Linked DNA regions of Drosophila melanogaster. Changing the gene in region 1 together with any one later gene gives a genetic interaction. Each region holds a gene or a part of one and is shown in the gene's direction. Other genes may lie near its edges. The genes, in order: htl, stumps and ush.

Region 1 (6,699 bases):
ATCCGGCCGAAAGGTCTGTTTAAACGCACTTTTAAGCGCCAGTTTTAGCCGCCCCAGCCCATACCATATCCATTTGCCCCCTCTCTTCTAAAGAGCCAGCTTTAAATTATGGCCTAGACCGCGACGGCGGCTAAGACCCTTGGTGGAACAGAAAACGGGCAGATAAAACCACTTTCCGAACTGAGAACTTCGAACAGTAGCCATAGCCAGTAGAACAGGGAAGATCGTGTTGCTGGGGATATCTAATATAATTAATACACCTTTCATTAGATTCGCCGACTCTACTCGAGATTTCTGCTGGCCTTTCGTTTCCAGCGTTTCGAGCGTCGTGTTAAAAGCAAGATATCAACGATCGCCGGTCTGCTTAAGCTGATTTACCATAGATCCAGAGATACATCAACCAGCCAGCACAATATAAATCAATCAAGTGCATACAAGTTCATTGACAGCTCGCACAGCTTGCCGAGCCCCAAAGCGCTCGGCGATGGCAACAATTTCCAGCCCCACATGATCCATGAGCCATGATCCTCCGCTTGGATACCCGAACACCCATCTCTGTGGCAGGCCAACTGGCCAACTCTGGGTCTAAACCAAAGAAGAAAAAAAAAGGCCAACAGCCTGTCAAATTGCCGGACCACATTGTAAGTTATGATTAGCTCACGCGCTCAAAGATTTAAGACCGGAAATGGCGCGGTGCTGGCAAGGTGGAGCCAATAATTCAAATTCGAATCTCCAATAGTTTTTGAGTGATTGGAAATTCGATTTCGGGCTTTTGTTTTGTTTTTTCTCGCATTTTTGATTTTTGCTTTCCGCCTGTCTCGAGGCTTATTGCATTTTCATTTATTTTGCTATTTGCCTGCTCTTGTGGCAAATGCAAACACACCCGCATAATTTCGCCTGCCAGCAGCAACCCACTCGGTTTGGATTGCGAAGATGCCAAATTGCCACGCACAGTTGATGCATAAATTATCATCGACATCGCCAACGAATGGAGCCATCGAATTGGTCTGGTTTTAAGCGGGTTTTTGGTTCTAGGCAATGATGAATCAATGTTTTGCAGGCCTAACTTATTTGAGCCCATATGATACAATAAATACATTCAACTCAATTTCTTAATCTTAATCTACTAATCCCAAAATTTAATTGATTTCCCAAGTCACCTAGCAAAAGTTAATATATTGCTCTTCCTTATTTTCATTGACAGCTTCAATAGCCCATCTGTTTATCTATTGCAACTGAATAAGTCTAGCAGTTAACTTATTTTTTGGTTGTTTAATCCGCTGGTCGAAAGCGTTTCTCATTGGCATATTTCGCATATAATTGGCTATAAAAATTCATGTTAATGTGCAATTAATCATATTAGCAATTAACTTTATGCTGTTTGGCTGCTCTGCACGAGATCTCGACGAGCTGCGATCTGCGAGATGGCTGCAGATCGTGTCGCCCAACTCGAAGATCGTGTCTCCAAAAGCCTGTTACCGTTCCCGATTTTTCATTTCCCATTCGCAGATTCCCAGAGCCAAATGGCCAAAGGCTCGACCAACCAGACTTTGAGCCAATTTCCCAATATTTATTTCTATGCTCGAAACGCTAACAACTTGCGTTTCGTTCTGGCCAAATTGAAAAGCCATACGGAAGCTGAAGCTGCGATCGGCAGCCTCGAGGAGAAGCACTTTTGGGTAGCCAAGAGGAGCCCGGTTTGGAGCCAGGTTGGAGCCAGGAGGCTTGCCCAGGAGTGCATAAAATTTAAGTATTATGACCATACACACTGATCGGTGGCCGTCTTTAACCCGTGCTTTCCCCGGTCTCTCTGCGGCTTTACGAGGTTGTTAACTGTTGAAACTATGCTAACCACTCATGGGGATCCTCCCTCCCAATTCCGCCGTGGAGCATCAATTAATCAGTCAGGCGTAACGCCATTTGGCACTGAACGGGTCCCGTCGGCCACAATTGATGGTCAATAATCGTTAATTGTTTTCGATTTTCGGCCAAAATCCCCCCTGCGTCATTGTCCATTGTTTGGCTAACCCTTTTCGTTATTTTTGGTGTCTCCATAGAGACAAACGCTAAACGATGCCATTGTCTTTGGCGCACAGCGTGTGTGCTTTGATGGCCTTTTCACCACGAGTGTCATTCATTAGAGGGGCTTTCTTCCATCGCCACTTGGCTACTGGTTCTTATGTGTCTGTTGGCCATTTGACATTGGCTATAAGTAGCTCATAATTAATAACTGCTAACTTACTTAGCGAGCTATTGTGTTGGCTAATGAATCTCATTCCGCATTTTCCGCCTCAAACGAAGCGCAAAGAAATGCGCAAAGAATTTGTCAGTAGAATCTTAGGCCCTCATAGGCCATAAATCTTTTTAAAAAATAATAATAATTAAATTCAAGTGACTGATCTATTCTGACTAAGATAAGTTAGCTATTCTTTTTAATAAAGCATGATCCATCAAACCAATTATAACTACATAAATAATTGATCTGAATATAAGGAATCTTTTTGACAACTACCCATCTTCTTTGCACCCTCATAATGAAATTCATGAATTTCCTCGCTGCGCTCGAAACTATGCAACATATTGTGCGTTAGAATATCTTTGAGATATTCCATTCGACTCAATTGAACGAATTTTAGAACGAGTGCGGTCTGTGCACTCAATTACATTTCACTTTCCAAGGGAAGGCCGCCACTCAGCTACACACTTGTGTGTGTGTGTGTGTGGGTCCCCCATATATAGGGTATAGGGGCCCCTATACCATATAGTACCATACATACATATACCGCATACCCAACCCCTCGCTTTTTCGACCCTTCCTCTCTTTGGCTGCGGATTATACAATGTGTGGCTGGCGTTCCGTTCAATTTTGTGTGTTTTCTGTATTTGTTTACGCGCCTGCCGCAAAAATACATTGCAGAGATGTGTTCTCCAGCATGTTGAAGTTGATGGGGGAAATGTGAATTCGTTTCATTTGTTCCCTCATTTAATTGAAGAGATTTATTTCGCAGAGCTGGCTCGGTTCTGTTCGGTTCGCTTGCTTTTTTTTGACTCAGTTGCGATCGGACTGCGTGCCGTTACAGTAGGCGAAATCGGAGGAAAATCGTTGGAAAATCGGTTGGAAAATCGTTGGAAAATCGGTGAAAAATCGTCGAAAATTAGAGCGAACGATCGATCGATTGAACGCGTAATAACGCCATATAATATAATTATACTAATAATTATTAGTAATGCCTCTTGGTGAAAACGCACACATTTTGTGGATGGAAAGAAACAAAACAGAGTCAAGTGTGCAACGGTTTCTGGTTCTGTTTAAGTGCCTAAGTGCCATATAAATGCGTACTAAAACATTTCTGGAATTTTAAGTGGAAACATTCTCGAATTCTGTGAACTTTCCCAATTGTGTTTTTAGTGAAAGACTTACAATTTAGACGAAGGCAAGGAGAAATTCCAACGCAGAGACACTTTGGTGGATATTTGGCAAGAAGCTTTTTGGCATTTTTTTTTTTTTGTTCGTGGAGCAACGCACTTTGTGAGGTAAGTCTTTAAAAATACACACCGTGCATCGTTTAATTTAGTTTATTTTGTTTTTGGTTTTTTTTGCGTAGTTGCGCAAATCATTTGTTTGATCCACTTTTTGATTGACCGCGCACAGCAATTTGACTTTTTAACCCAAAGGCCAAAAAGTGTAAAATGTGCAGTGGTTCGGTTCCAAAGCAATTTGTGTCGTTTATCCCGCTGTGTGTGTGTGTAGTCAATCGTTCAATTATCTATTCTCTGGCTACCCCATAATAATACAGTGAATATGGACAGTTGTGGGCTCCCCATAGTATCTGTTTTTTTTATTTTTTATTTATTCCATTCGGTTCTGCTATGGTACATGCTCAAATTGAAAGCACTTTTCCACAGGGTTCCCATTCTAATTTATATTTATTTATTTGCTTTTACAAGCCAACCGATGCCCCAGAGCTCGGGAAAATATTTCAAACTCATAATTCTGTTATATTCCAACGCTCCCTTAGAATGGGATTTTGTTTATTAACCAACAGCATATAGCATATATCGTATCATCTAGAGTCTAGATTCTAGAATGTAGACGGTATAGGAACATGCAATATTTTCTAGCCGCGTAAACAAACATTTCAACTTGTCTGCTCTTTGTCCGACTTGCTCTATATCTGAGTGAGTATATAGCTAAAGATATAGCTATCTGTGTGTATATATATGTATATATATATATTTATCGGGTATCTGTTTTGTCGGTCGGTTAGCTTTACGATGCCATCTTCTAGGTGATTCGGCTTCTGTTTTGTTGCCTTTGGCAATCACTCAATTTGCTGGCCGACAACCGAAGACGCTTCTTACTTTTCGCCTCCCTTCTCTGCAATTTATTTATGAATGATAATTAAGGTTAGGTTTGTTTAGCTAATTGTGCGGCCAGTTCCCGGTATTGTTCCCATATCATCTCAGGTGGGATCCACGCAGACTTTCGGTATGATCCTTTGATCTTTATGATGTTAAAGTACAAATGTCACGAGAATATATGCTTGCTATATAATATTAAATGTTTTCATGAGAGTTTATCATAAAATCAGTGTTTACCAAATAAAGATTTCGATTTAGAAATAGATTTATGTCAACAATAAAGTAATAATGTTATTTTTTGGTATTATAATATATTATAGCTTAAGCTTATCAATGCTACAGCACTTTTATAATGGATTTTGTTGTCTAAATGTTTGTGAGTACTAATAAAATTTTAAAGCTCTAAATGGCAAATTTACAAATATATAAGTAAAGCTTGCAACAATTTAAGAATAGCACATATTTATTTCAACTAAATCTGTTGAACGTTCTTTATATAAATCGCTGCGTGCTTTATATTTCTGAAATGTAAATCGAATCAATAGTTCACTACTCATATACTTTGTGATAATTTAACGTAGCTTCGCGTTTTTGATAAAGTCGACTTGCCACAATCGACCTTTCGCTCCATCTGCTTCTTTTCGTTTACCCCATGGGATGCAACCTTCTCGCCGTCACGTACTGAATGGTATATACTAGATGAACGGGTGGGGATGGATGGATGGATGGATGGCTGGATGGGATTGGCATTGGGTGGCTGATGGCTGGTGGAACCTGCCGACGAACCGTGCGAAATAACAGACTCGTGCCGGTCTCGACTTGGTATCGGATACACTGAGCGGCAGCGGGGCAACCGCCAAGTGCGTCAATTGCGGGTCAACCCGTGCGATTGAAATGGATGCGCCAAGTGACCGGCGATTTCAATTCGATGGGAAATGTACATATACCGTGCAATGTTTGTATACTTTGCAAATACTTTCCGGAACGTGTTTGTTTATAAATCGGGCGATTTTGGACGGCACAGGAAATACATACATATACTAAAATTGCGCGCTCATTATCGATGGAGGTGAAGGTCGGAGGGTGGAGATAGAATACCAAACATATATACAATTTTTGGCAGTTTCCGATTTGGCGGATGCCTTCCTGGAAGTCAACATTTCGGATAACCCCATCATTTAGACGCTGGAGTCGCTACTTCCCCTCGAGAATCGACGACAATGTCTGTGCAACACATGTGGCACGATCTTAGGTAGACATACGTATATGTACATTCGTGTATGTTCGATGCTGATGATGTGCCCACATGTTGCAGTCAACAATAGAGCAACAAATGCAAGCCGAAACAATATTTGCCCTTGTCTCTGCTCTGACTCTGACTGTGGGCGTGGCGACGGGGGCGGGAGAACAGAGACAACTGAACACAGTAGTCTTCTCCGCCGGCCGTTATTTTTGTTGCTTTTAATTTCTTTAATTTTTTTTTGTCCGCCAGATGTGGGCTGAATGTTGAATGCGGACTGGAAAGATCAGACCCAGAACGCGGAGAGAAACTGTGTCTGTTTTAATTAAAGATGAGAGTAATACCCAGTGCAAACTGAGAGATACCGCCGATACTGAGATACAAAGCCAGACGGGGCTGGCATGTGTGGAAAATTAAGGCTGCCGTTGAAAGCGAAAAGATGCGGGACGCTAAAGGCAACGACCATCCAAACAGAACAGAACCGCAATGTGAATGAAAAAGCGAGCTTGTCAATTTATTGACTATAGCATACCTGGCAATTTGGCAACTCGACTTTACTCGAAAAAAAAAAAATGTCCTTTATAATGATATACCAATATATACCAATCATGCCATTAGGTAACAAATGTATATCATCTATATATTATACTTAGTACTTGAATAATTTCACAAAAAAAGATTTGTTTAAAAAGGATCTTAATATCGATGCACGAAGCTTTCAACGCTTTACTCTTATGATCATATCATCACTTCGATTGCTTATTTGATCAAACCCGTGCATAACCCATTTCACCCTTACATTACAGGGTATTAGGCATTGGAAATATAACGGCAAAAGTGGAAGCGACTCGAGGGCCCACTAAATTGAGTCGCCTTTTCCGACGCCGGCGCATTGAGTAGGACATTGTGTGTGGGAGAGAGATGGTGAAAGAGAGAAGGGCGATCGGATCCGGGGAGTTAAAGAGAGATAGCGAGAGAGAGAGAGTGTGGGAGATTTAAGAGAGGTAGAGAATCGGAATAGTCGCGATCACCACTAGAATTGGAATCGGAATTGGCATTGGGCATATTCAGTACATCGGACTACGCGGACCAATTTG
Region 2 (6,538 bases), 3.5 Mb from region 1:
ATGAAAATGTCTGAGTAAATAGAAGAGCAGGCTCTCTAGCAGCGAAATGAATTCAACAAAATAAATAAAAGCAATGCACACAATATTCCTGCAAGTGGCAAACAAATGCTATGGACACCCTGTTTTGGCCCTTCCACACTCGATTGTAATTACATATATATCTGCATTAAACGGGGAGTGCCAGTGAGGAAGGTCTTGTCTGGCCAATCGATGGCAAGACAATTTACGGGCCGCACAATATGACAAATCTAAAATTCACAATTACGCATTTCCCCCACCCACTGGATTTTCCACCTGCTTCATTCTTCCTGTTTGGCCCAAAGGGCTTCCTGCTCGGATTTCCAATCGATTGCCAATATAATATGGCTGTGTAGTTGTTCAAATCGGTTTTATTGCCCTGTAATTACTTGTTCAATGTTCTGTTCGATCGAAGAGGAAACTTACAGGGGTTTAAAGTAGTGCATGAAGTGGGTATTATTAAATGAAAACCAAAAGGGTAGAGTAATATCTTTAATAATCCAAACCTCTGTTGGTAAGACCAAAATGCATCTTTGTAGGTAGATGTACAATATATATTCACACCCTATTGAACTTTTCCATAACTGACCCCAGAGAACAACAAAAACACGGGGAATTTATTGAACTCTAGGCGGTGCGTAGTAGTGATTAACCCGTCAACACCGATGAACAATCAGCGAAAGTGCAGCGAATGGCGCCCAATCCCCGTGGCAAGGGAAATGGAAACTCAGCACAAAGCCGGGTTGGGATGCTCCACTCTGTGACTAACTAGACAAAGCCGCGTTGCAGTAGAGCGTCTACAGATTTACGACTCGCCAGTTGAGTCCAGATCCCCCTGGCAGACCCTCCTCGTCCGCGGAACACGTGGAGCGTGCTGGCGAAGACAAGCATTTGACATTTATGTGCAGCAAATGCATTTGCCCAAGTACTCGAGCAAGGCAATCGGCTGCAAGTGCAAGTACCCTAGTGGTTCAAGATCATTTGCATCCAGCAGCAGCCAAACAAATACGTTTGCACTGGGAGAAATATTTAAAATGTTTAAGAAACTCATTACATTTGTTAATATCTTAACTTTTCAGGATATAACATGCTAAGTGTTATATTATATAACATTAAAGTTATTTCTGCCAGTGTAACGTTGCAGAGTCACTTGCTCCGCAGAGAGCCGCCACTCAAAGATCAACCCTCGATGGCAGACTCTCGCCTTTATGGACTACGAAATGTGCAATTTCTGCTCGGGTACCGAGTTTTACGATTTTTCCATAGGTCCCAATATGCCGGGCATCTGTGTGGTAGGGGTTATTTGGTTGTTGGCCCAGTATCGATGGCAGGCCCGATTTTAGACCCAGTCCACTTAGGAATTCCACGGACAGACCACATGGACTCTCTAGCATTTTGCCACTTCAGTTGTTGCTTCAGTTTCAGTTTTTTTTTTCCTAGTTGCACTGGGGAAAAATGTGAAAATGTGTTCCCTTAGCACAATTGTTGCTCTCCCCTGGCTGCAATTTTTAATGTGCCTTTTCCGATGCGCGTTCTTTTTTTTCTGCCTTTGATGCTCTCGAGTTTCCCCTAATGTGGCTGGAATATGTCGCCTGGCCATAGCTTCTATTATGGCCTTCTATTTTCGGCCCAACATTGATGACAATTTTCATATTTGCCATAAAGTCGAAAGGCAAATATTGCGTATCTTCAGGACAATTGAAGAAATGCTCCAAATATGAGTTTACTTTATGCTAATATATTAATATACAGCGTAAGTAATCATCATATTTTTGATGAATTTCTGGCATCTGTATCATCAAACATCCTAAAACTCTTTGTATAATTTTTTTTTTTTGTATTTTTTCCCATGATATTTTGGAAGATTAATTCTCCCACCGCTCTGCGAAGGTGAGTTCTCATGGTCCCTCCCGAAAAACGTCTCATAAATGTTTCCTGACAGTGAACATCATCGAATTGAAGACCAACCCAACCACAGACAACACTCGGCGCACAAACTCAAACTTTGACACTGATAGAACATGGGGAATACTAAACCGGGGGGCTCACCTCAGATGCTACAATATATATGATGATGGTATATGCTATGTGCGCCACATCAAGTTGGCTTATATGCTAGATGGGTCTTCTATTTCTGCTATCGGAACTCATCAAATATGCACGACGAGACCAAGACAAAACGTACGCTCACGGATGGAAAATGGGAAAGGGACAGGAGACAGGGACAGTGGACAGGGGACAGAGGACAGGGAATCATGGATATCATGGAAATCATGGACTCGGAGCGCGCTGGCGATGATAATTTGATCATGCGAAAAGCGCACGCAAAAGAAAAACATGCGCAGGTACAACAACAAAGTCGTTGTAGTCGAGGAAAAGTGAGTTTTCCTGATCGCCGATCGGTTTCTAGGGGTGGGGGAGTACCGAGTGGGTGATGGCAATATGGCAACCATATTTAAACACTGATCCCGTATGCGTGTGTGCGTGCGCGGGCGGGAGCGAGATGGGGTGAGAGTGCGAGGGAGAGATGCAATGTTTTTATGCTGCTGCCGATGTCGCTGCACTGTGAGAAAATAAGAGATGAGAATTGATTGATCTCTCAAAATGATGTACAAATTTATTAGTGAAGACACAGAAACAGACATAAAGAAATCAAATTTACCGATTAAATATTATTATTTTATTTAATTAATGTATCCAGTTCAAAATCTTGTGGTACTTATTTCAAGTAATTTTTTGTATCTGAATTTATTAAGAAAATTATGCCTAACAGTTTCGCTTAGAGAATTCGAAAGAAAATATTAATATGAGAAGGTGGGATTTTTCGGTATATTTATTTTTATCAGTGCACGCTGAGAATGGGAATGGATGAAGAAGTGCGCGTATGGTAAATAAAAACCAAAACACGAGGAGGGATTCTCTGCGTCGGCAGAGACGTCGACAGAGACATCGGCGGTGGCAGAGGAAAATGCAGACGGCGCGGAGTGTTTTGTTCTCGTTGAAGTTTTAGAATTTATTCCGTTTCGGGATGTCAATGCAGACGCACGCACTGCGCGAACTCAAGTGAACTGAAGTGAAATATTAAGTCGAACCATCACGAACTTGCATTGCCGCCTAAATTTGAATTTTGAATTTATTTGCCCCGTTTTTTCAAACTGACAATTTGTTAAGTTGCCATTTGTGGCACTCCCCGTTGTGATTTCCGTTTACGGTTTCTCGAATTCGCGCCCTGTGCGCAACTTTTGGCGCGTGCGCATGCGCAGCCAGTGAAAGTGCAAATGCATCGCAAATCAGAGCTCTGAATTGTGGTAGACTCTGCGAATCGCATATCAACTAAGGAAAAATTCACTGCATAAAGGATCTCAAGATGTTTGTCACTGTGGATAACACAAACACCTTCTTCTCAGGTAAAAAGAGTGAAAGAGTTTCTTAAAGACTTTATAAGTTTCTTTATGCGAAAAGAATTGTAACAAATATCAAAGTTTTAAGTTAGAAAGTATGAGCAAAAGCGAAAGATTATACAAAGATACAGAGATTCATACAGATTAAAAACGTACATATATGATATTAAATAAATGTTATTTATTATACTTTATAAGCACATCCTCAAACTTTGATAAGTTCAAATCAGAAAACTAACTCCATTCCTCATTCATTCTATTGCAATTGAACTCCCCAGACAACCCGTATTACTTTTGCAATGAAACCAAGTCGCCGCGCACCCCGGACTCGCAGTCCTCCAGCCGGGGATTCTCGATCTTCAAGCGGCGCAACTCGAAGGGCAGCAGCCCCCGGCCGCTGGTGATGACCAATCCGGAACAGATGCGACTGATCACATCCGCCAATCTGGATACCACGGCTACCATGGCATTAGGAAGTCCGCGGGGCAGCTTCAATTCCCTCGCCGGCTATCCGCAAGTGAGTAGCGATTTAATAGAGCATATTCCGATCTCCGATTTCGGAATACTGATTCTGATTTATCTGCTGGATCTGCCACTTCCTGTGGAGTCGAGTGAGCCCTTCTAATGTGCCGTCCTCTTCCGTTTTGCGCATTTCAGCACGCGATTGAACTGCAGACGATGAACATGTACCGCCAGCGATCTGCAAATTCGCACTCAGAGTTCCGGGAACGCCTGAATTCTTGCAACGAGACCCACAGCTCCCAGTGTCCCGGAGGAGGAGGTGCATCCGTAGCTGGGGATCACGACGAGGTCTTCAATCCGCTGACATCGCCAACAAGGTGAGCAATCCCCAGAATCGAGCATTTAATGGGGAGGGTGAGGTGATGACAGGATGCGATTGCAGCTGTTGACAGTTTCGAACCGCCCCCTTTTCCGCCCATGCTAATCGTGCGCCCTTTCTTTTCTCCCCCCACCCCCCATCTTTGCGACCAATCCTCAGTAGCAAATCGCATCGACATCACACCCTGCCAAGTGGCGGAACTCGTCGCCATTCCCTGGGAAACTGGGCCCAACATCAGCATCAACAGCAACATCAACAGAACTCTGGAGCAATGGGACTGGGATCTCCGGATGAGGTGCCCAGCATGATGGCGCCTCGACCGCCGCTCCTCTCGCCAAACAAATTCCGCGGCAGTTCCCATCGACGAAGAGGTGAGTTGACGTTCCACGACACTTGCATTTCCCATCTGCTCAGTATGCCACGGGGCAATCGCGAATTCCTATGCTAATCTGGGCTCAATAAGTAGAAGTAATCCATGTAAATGGAAATCGTTTAGCAAAGTTTTCAGATAATAGAAAAGTCGATAGTTGACAGCAAACGTATATGGATTATAGGATATGGCTGTTATGTCCCTAAAGGAATAAATTTTGGCTCACAAATTTTTAATTTTCTTTGAGAGCTATTTTTTAAATATCTGCTTATTGCTGTGTTATTTAATTTACTCGAGTCTAATATACTTTTAGTTATTTTAATATGCCCCACAAGTTCAGCCGACGCAGTGACAAAGACAAAGTGGTTGCAAATTGCATTCCCTGCCCTCGTTTCGCGTTCGCATTTTTGCACTTTGGCGGCTGTCAGGCGTTCACTCCCCTTTGCCTGCTACTCCATTTTCATGCCCCAAAAGTCCTCCCTTCTGGGGTTTTCCCCCCTGTTGACTCCTCCAGTGGCTGCCCAACAACCTTTACCTCGCAGCTTTGCATCACGTTTGCATATTAAGCGCAACTGCCAGCTCTTCGGAATTTGTTTTTTCATTTTTCGCCTGGCAGGCGCCATGGAATTGGGTCCACTACCCAGCCCCTTTCAGTTCGCCCTCACATTTAAACCACGTTAACAACATTGCAATGTTTACGCAAGTGATAATTGTAATAGTATTTTGTCGCCAGAGCGTCGCCAATCTTTGTTTTGGCATTGTTTTTCCCCGGCAGTGGAGTGGAGCTTCTGTTTGCCTTCGATTTTGTGGCGTAATGAGGGGATCGCATATAGCCGATCGAGCGTATATATAGCTGATTGTTGGCAACGCGCCTTCCTGGCTGACTGACATTTCGCGACTGGCCTGACATTGACAGTCCTCCGTGTGATGGATGCCCCTAAAGTGGGCAGTTGCATGCAAGATGGAAAGGCCTCCTGGTTTACTCGTATGTCCAGCAAAAGTCACAGGTTTATGGTTTATGAGTCGCTCAGGACTCCTTTGCACGATCATTGTGTATTCATCATAAGCGTTTTCAAGGTTTCGCTTTCATGACATCTGATGATTTAAGTTGATTTAAGGCACTTCGTGTGACGTTTAAATCCAGCGCGATTTTCGAGTCTCAAAAGAGATGAGAAATAAGTAGTAGATGAGATACTGAGGAGTGTTTCATACATAGAAATTCAGAGCATGTAGATCTGCTTTAGAAGTGCCGCAATTTATTAGAAGTGTGCCATTAAAGTTTTTACTATTATAAAAACAATAGATTCTTTCCCTTATTGTTATTGTTATCAATTATAATAACGGTTGCCCACAGCGCCTTATTCTAAAAATGATCACCCACCATATTCGACACACTTATCGCTATGGTCACTTGCAATCCATTCGAATCTTTCGCCATATGCAGGAAACTAGGCAATTCGCCTCAATCGGCAATTAACCCACAACACCCACGAACAATTCATTTCTAACACCTAAATTTATGGCAAAGTAAAAACAAACCGAACCGAATATCTCTGCCATATTTGCGAGTGTCCCACTGCAGTTGCCAGTTCGATTGGCATAAGTTATACGCATTTCCGCTCTTTCAATAACAATGGCCATTGCATTTTGTTATTATGTTGCTGGCAACGGGGCGGATGGGCAACATGGGCGATATTGGATGTGCGGATGGTGGAGTCAACAAACGAATCGCTTGACGTGGGCGGTGGGTGTGGCCGCATGAGGAGCATAAATTGAAGAACTGCACATCCAATAAGGCACAACCAACTGGCTGGAACGGAACACGGCATAATTGATGGGCGGACTCCGACTCCCCGGTACACATATGTACATATACCTAAACCTATAGATATGTATGCTTCAAACGTG
Region 3 (6,643 bases), on another chromosome or scaffold:
AGGCGCAGCTTCAGCAAATGCAACAACAGCAGCAACAGCTGGTGGTGGGCAATCAGACGCCAACACAGCAACCTCCGACTCCGCAGATGCCCACGCCCAATATGATTCCTAGTCCGGCACTGGTTCCCCAGTCCAGTCCGCAGATGATGCAGATGCAGAATTCGCAGCGCAATATTCGGCAGCAGTCTCCAAGTGCCTCGATCAACACTCCTGGCCAGGTTACTGGTAACAGTCCATTTAATCCCCAGGAGGAGGCATTATACCGCGAGAAATACAAGCAGCTGACCAAGTACATTGAGCCACTGAAGCGGATGCTTGCCAAGATCAGTAACGACGGAACCAGTAAGTAGATAATACCCTCACGTTTCGTTTTTTTCGCAGCTATTGCATTTTTAAATCGTTTGCTGATTACTGAAATGCTGTAAATGCTATAAACCGCGTCAAATAATATAATTTAAGAATTATATAATCGTTTTTGCGAGGCCAAATGCAAGGACTAACTAACCAAAAACAAAAGTTTAATGCAAACTTACTCGGGTTTATATATTTCCTAGTAGTTATATTCTCGAAGTATATGTTATCGTAAAACTAATATTATATCTTCTTTAATAGATGTGGAGAAGATGACAAAGATGAGCAAGTTGTTGGAGATTCTCTGCAATCCTACACAGCGCGTGCCGCTGGAGACTCTACTTAAGTGTGAAAAAGCGCTTGAGAAGATGGATCTCATCTCCTATTCCGGCCAGCAGTTTGGTGTAAGTATATCTACATCCAACGGGCCAATTTATTATATTCTTCGTTATACCTAGAAATCCTCAAATCCATTGCTGGAGGTTATAAATACAACGCTGCAAAGTCCTGTAGCAAATCACACATTGTATCGCACATTCCGACCCACTTTGGAGCTGCTCTTTGGTACGGATATAACAGCTCCAGTGCCCGCAAAGCGACCTCGGGTGGAAGAAAAGTCCACGTCTTTTGAGCAGGAAGTGCCACATGTGCTTCAAGGGGAAATTGCTAGGCTCGATACCAAGTTTAAAGTGAAATTGGACACCACGTCACAGATCAACAACAAGGCCATTCGCTTGATTTGTTGCCTGGATGACAAAAGGTTGCCTAGTGTTCCGCCCGTAAGTGTGAGTGTGCCGGAGGAATATCCGTGGCAGGCTCCGGACTGCTCCTTGGCGGAACAGGAGTATTCAGCCACCCCCTTCCTGCAGACGGTGCAACAAGCTCTCATTGCCCGCATCTCGAAGTTGCCCAAGAACTACTCGCTCTCACATTTGTTGGACACCTGGGAGATGGCCGTGCGACAGGCGTGTTCCCCGCAATCGAAACCCAGAGCAGTCTGTGAACTTTCCACTTTGCTGGGAGTTTAGCCCAACTATTTGGTTAAATTCAACTATAACATTAAATCTTAAGCTAAAAGTGCGTACGCTGCAAAAAAATTACTATTTATTTTAAAATCTTTCTAATTTCTGTTTTGTTCTAGATATATTTTTATATTTGTTGGAAGTTTTACCTAACTATCCGGCCTAATCAACTATAAACATTTTTTCTATTTACGCTGGGCAAAAAGTGTGGAAAGTTTAGTAAGTTTATATCTTGTTTAATTTTAAATCAATGGATATTGAAAATTTTAATTTCATTTTAGATTCCCAAAATGCCCCTCTGTTTTGGGTAAATACATTTTAACATATAAGACAAATGGCTTTTATAGCTAAAATAAAATAAAACCAATTATTTCAAAGAATATTGAGCTGCACCGCATTGAAACATCCTTCTATATACACAACACACTCATCCACTCATCAAGCAAAAAACATTCCACACTCAAGACTTAGTTCAATACCAAAATGGGGCTACATACTTTGCAAATTGTTTCAGTCGGATGAGATTTTTAAAAAGGTAAGCATAAACAATTTGGAATAGGGCTTGTCATTCTAAAAAAAAATTAAGTCACCGCAATAGACTTCTGCCCAATTACGCTTCCCTCCCAATTCATAGAATAACTTTAGTTTTCTTTGGAAAATATGTATATTTTCATTTGTTGAGATTGGAATCGTGCGATGATCCATTATTCTATTTGTTTTCATTTTCTTTTTTTCACATTTAGCAATAAATACAATTGTGTGTGTTTTAGCTTAAGAGAATTACACTGACAACTATGGTACAATAGAAAAGAGTTAAGAAAACTTAAATATCACAGATGTTGGACGCCGAATGCGTCTCTTTATAGTATGTACAAACACTAGGGATATTCAGAATATTAATCTGAAGAAGATCGCTTAGATAAGAAGTGTGCTGTGTGCTCCTGGAAAGAAGTGGCATCTATCCGATTTGGGTATTACGTATTGAATTTGAAGTTGATATATGCACAAAACGGTGACAAGATCTAGCTCCTAACTAAGCTTAAGTCTACACCAGCTACATGAGAGCGAGAAGGCATTTCGAATTTGACTCAGATGTTAATTTGTTTTGAAATTTGGTGGGAATTCATCTCTGTTTAGCTGGCGATACTGTGGGGCTGAGATTGGTTCTGATGCTGCTCGCATTGCTCTTCTCATCGCTGCACTTGAAGCAGGGTTCCGCCGAAGGTGAAACTGCTGGCCTGCTGCTGTAGCCTCAGCAGATCTTGGGCGCTGTAGACTTGCAAGCTGGCGGAACTGATGGGCGAGGAACTAGCGCTGGAGCCCGCCGGTGCTATCGCTCGCAAATGGAGCGAGGCATCGCAGAGGGAAGCCGCTACCGAAGCTGATGTGTTGTTGTTGGCCAGGGAGACATGTCGATTCACTCCGTTCGCCTTGTCCTTGTTGTGCCGTTTGACGTGCTTCGACAGGTGATCGCTTCTCATGAATTTCTTCTGGCAGACGCTGCACTGGAATTTCTTTTCACCGGTGTGGGTCCGTTTGTGTCGGGACAACTCATCGGAACGGGAGAATCGTTTGTCACAGTTCTCCCACTTGCAGATAAAGGGTCGCTCGCCGGTGTGAACCCTCTGGTGGGCCTTCAGATGACTGCTTTTGAAGTAATTCTTGCCGCAATCGGGAAAACTGCACTCGTAGATGCGACTTCTGGTGGCCGCCGCCTGGGCGGCCGTAATTCTGGTTGTTAGTTTCTCCTCGGACATTGTTGGCGTTTTGGGTACGGGTGTGGGGCTCTGTTGGGCGGCCACTGTGCTGAGCAGGATAAGTTGGCTGGCAGACGAAGCTACTGGGCTAACATATATCGGTGTCAGAATAGGTTTTATTTCCTCCTCCTTGATGCATTCCGCTGGAGCAGGTGGCGTTACAAGCTTCGCAACTGGTGTCTCGGGTGTTTGTACTGGGGGTAGTGCCACTTCTGCAGCACGCTTTCTGTTCATTTTGAACTTGAGATTGCGCCACACATTGGCCTCTGGATAGTCGTCCTCCACAGTGGGTGGTACTGAACTTGTACTTGTGTTTGTGTTGGAAGAGGAACTACAGCAGGAGGTGGAACTAGATGAGTTCTCGTCTTGGCTACTAGAAGAGACAGCGCCAGAACTGTTGACCCGCATGATGACGCTAACCCTTTCCGCTTTCTGATCATCGTCCAGCTTTTGATCCGGCGGCGGTGTCATGCTCATAGCAGGTTGTTCCAAACGGGGTTTCTTGTTGGGAACCGCTATTTCGGGAGCCTCGTCTTCCGTGTCCGATGGATTTGGTGTAATAATCCCTCCATTTTTCTGACTCTTTTGGGCCACCAGCTTGAGCTTTGCCTTTAGCAGATTCTCGTTCACCTGTTGTTCGTCCTTGGCGACCTGGAAAAGGAAAGAACAAGTTCAGGGTTAGTCAGAGTTCGTTAACATTGTCGAGTTTATGTTCTGAGGAGTGCATTCACATTCACAGTCCCATTCACTTTTCGCTGACCAGCATTGACCCACAATAACTTTTCCTCGCAATTCGCTAATTACGCCGGCGGCTGACAAGGCCGTTCACCGTTAACCTTCACACACCCTGCAATACCCCGCCCAACCCCAGGTTCAATGCTCCTTCGAAAGGCCAAGGGAACTTTGTTTTTGGCGGTTTTTGAACTCTTTTAAAGGCCGTTTGGGGTGACAGAATATTACTCATTAACTGTTGCTGCCAGCTGTGCTTTAAATTATAGACGTATGTAAATGTTAAAGGTGAATACTGTATTGATGACCACATAAAAGTCTTTAAATTGATGTGCTCCTGACAGAAACAAAAAATGTCTTAAAATTTTAAAAACTGTTCTTAATATGGACTTTTCAAATTTCACTACTTAATTTTTAAGGATGAAAACATGAGCAACTGTTGCGTTTTCGGCGCATATTCTAGAACCATTTAAAAATTGCGCCTAAAAGCATGCAAGGAAAATGCAGCCACACCACCAGTATTATTATGACGTGCCTCAGGTGGGTGATTTCATGGGGAAGGCGAATGCGAGGGGTGTATTATGACTCGTGCGAAGACGTCGAAATCTTTTTATGGGCTCGGCACGTTGCGCTCTAATGTGCGACAGTGTTTGTTTGTTTCTTTCTTGGCCAGATAAAAAACGAGCCAGAAATGTGACATGGTTTTATGGGTTGGGGCTTGGCCTGTTTGCCTAGCTTTTGGCTAGGCCCTCTCTTTCCTCTCACACTCCACCGCTCGCCTACAGTTGCCAATTGGCAACTCACCTTCTCTCTTTTGCTTTTCTGTTGTTTTTTCCTAGTGGTGCCAAGTCCAATGTTCAGCTGCGGCCTCTCGCTCGCACTCACACATCACTCGCTGTGCATGCGGTGTTCACGTGAAAGCGTGTTGGCTGCGTGATCGCATGGCTGTGTGCGAGTGCGAGCGGGACGAGGCACTTTGTTTTTAGAAACGCGGCAAGTGGGAGCGAGAGCGAGCTAAGTACGATTCCGTTTGATTTTCCGCTGCCTTGAATGCACTATCCCCACTCAATAAGCACTAATTACACTAGCGTACACTGTATATATCCACTTTGTAGGTCACTTACGATTTCCAACTTGTTTTCCCTTAGTGGGGGCGTTGCGGGTGGTGAAGGTAGCAAGGTATCCATGTCCATTGCACTTTCAAATTTCAGTTGCACTCTCTTTTTTTTATTGAAGAGTCTGTGTTTGTTTGTTTGTTTTGTTCCGGGGCTAATCACTTGGTTTAATCTCAGTTTGTGTAGATTTTTGCACTTCAGCTAACTTTGCACTGGCGCTTTCAAGTGCCGCTTGCCGTTTTGGAGCGAAGGCGAACCGTTGCGTTCGGAATTCAAGAGACGAATGAAAAAGGCAAAGCCATTCAGCTCCCAGCAGAGCTGCCGCCGCCGACGCCGCTGCCGGCAGAGGCTGTGCAAGTGTGAGTGAGTGGAGCCGCCGACGACGTAATCACTTGGAAACGGGCAAGTGTGTGTGAGCGGGCCATCGTCATCGGCAGTGGAGCAACCAGTGCAATGTAACCCGGACGAACATCAGCCAGCAACGTGGGCAGCACCTCCTCGGCTCCTCTCTCTCGGGCGCAAAAAAGAAAAAGGTCAGGTCTCCTGCTCACTCACCTCTCAGCAACCCACGTGCACCGGACAAAATAGCCCGTAAAGAATGACATCTCTGTTAACTCAATTTTAGACTGTAATGTTGGTTGGCAATAAGTTAAAAGAGATTCAGGTGAACCCAAATCGTTTTTAGTAAACTCTCTAAAAGTGTATGGCTATTTTAAATGTTGCCATCTTTTCCGAGAAGACCCAAAAAATCACCGAAGCGATTTCTTTCTGTGCAGGACACAGACACACAGCCAGTAGGAGAGAGGCCCGCAGAGCACGTAATCAACGCATGGACGTCATCAGCTGTTCACTGCGGGGTCTTGTGTTTGGTGCTATAGAGAACGGGTCAGTAGAGGAGGAGCTGGGGAGGGTGTGGGGCTCCATCGGCTGTCTATTCATGGGCTGTGCATGCCCCAGCCGCGTGCACAGCGCACACCAACCGACACACTCACAGACACACCCCAAAGCCGTGTCTGAGTAGCTGACGTAGTTGTTGCCACGGAAGTCTGTGAATAATCGGCTGAAAAAATACTTTAAAACTGGCTCGAAACCTGGCAGACGCCCCTCAAGCTGAAATCTAAGACCTGGCCGCATATATTTGCATTAACTTTGGAAGTCTGACTTTAAGCAGACACGGATTTCATTAATAAACGAAAGGCATAGTGCGAAAGCAGGAGAGTATGGGAGCTCAACAGTTGACGGGGAGCATTGCCAGGCCCAAGAAACTGGGAGATAACAAAGATGAGTCACGAAAAGCAGGCATTTCAAAATCCTCTTATTCACCACCAGTGAATGCATGTAACTCAATTAAGTCGTCAATTGATTACATTTATTTTGTTTGAAAACCCTCCTAGGACACGGGTAAATTCTACCTGGCAATGCTCGCGTTTCGCCTGTAACAGTTTTCAAAGCAAAAAGGGGCTCGTACACAGAGCACACACACCAAAGAGCGAGCGGCAGAAACAGCTGTGGTTATTGGCGCTCTCTTGCGCAACAACAACGAATAACTAGCACGCCATACCCCACACCAGACTTGTGGGGCGACTGTTCAGGCCGTGTAGGGTATTCAGGGGTAGCATGGGAGCAGCTAGATTAGATGCAGATCTCTGAAAAGTTTAAGTTTTATTTT

What was found.
Region 2: of htl (region 1) and stumps, changing one suppresses a phenotype caused by changing the other (phenotypic suppression), as found in Drosophila melanogaster (one study listed by BioGRID).
Region 3: of htl (region 1) and ush, changing one enhances a phenotype caused by changing the other (phenotypic enhancement), as found in Drosophila melanogaster (one study listed by BioGRID).

The regions. Positions count from the first base shown.
Region 1 is NT_033777.3:18,049,337-18,056,035, reverse strand, and holds the start of htl (heartless), read left to right. Parts: upstream 1-3,051; 5' UTR 3,052-3,534; intron 3,535-6,669; exon of another isoform or gene 6,670-6,699. UniProt on the Drosophila melanogaster protein: May be required for patterning of muscle precursor cells. May be essential for generation of mesodermal and endodermal layers, invaginations of various types of cells and CNS formation.
Region 2 is NT_033777.3:14,588,585-14,595,122, forward strand, and holds the start of stumps (stumps), read left to right. Parts: upstream 1-3,035; 5' UTR 3,036-3,385; coding exon 3,386-3,425; intron 3,426-3,697; coding exon 3,698-3,936; intron 3,937-4,076; coding exon 4,077-4,258; intron 4,259-4,419; coding exon of another isoform or gene 4,420-4,422; coding exon 4,423-4,631; intron 4,632-6,538.
Region 3 is NT_033779.5:474,424-481,066, forward strand, and holds the start of ush (u-shaped), read left to right. Parts: upstream 1-1,796; 5' UTR 1,797-1,908; intron 1,909-2,022; exon of another isoform or gene 2,023-2,563; coding exon of another isoform or gene 2,564-3,781; exon of another isoform or gene 3,782-4,983; coding exon of another isoform or gene 4,984-5,052; exon of another isoform or gene 5,053-5,265; intron 5,266-6,643. Other genes in the region: MED15 (mediator complex subunit 15), read left to right, coding at 1-342, 613-755, 810-1,379; cbt (cabut), read right to left, coding at 2,564-3,781, 4,984-5,052. UniProt on the Drosophila melanogaster protein: Transcription regulator that modulates expression mediated by transcription factors of the GATA family such as pnr and srp. Represses transcription of proneural achaete-scute complex (AS-C), which is usually activated by pnr.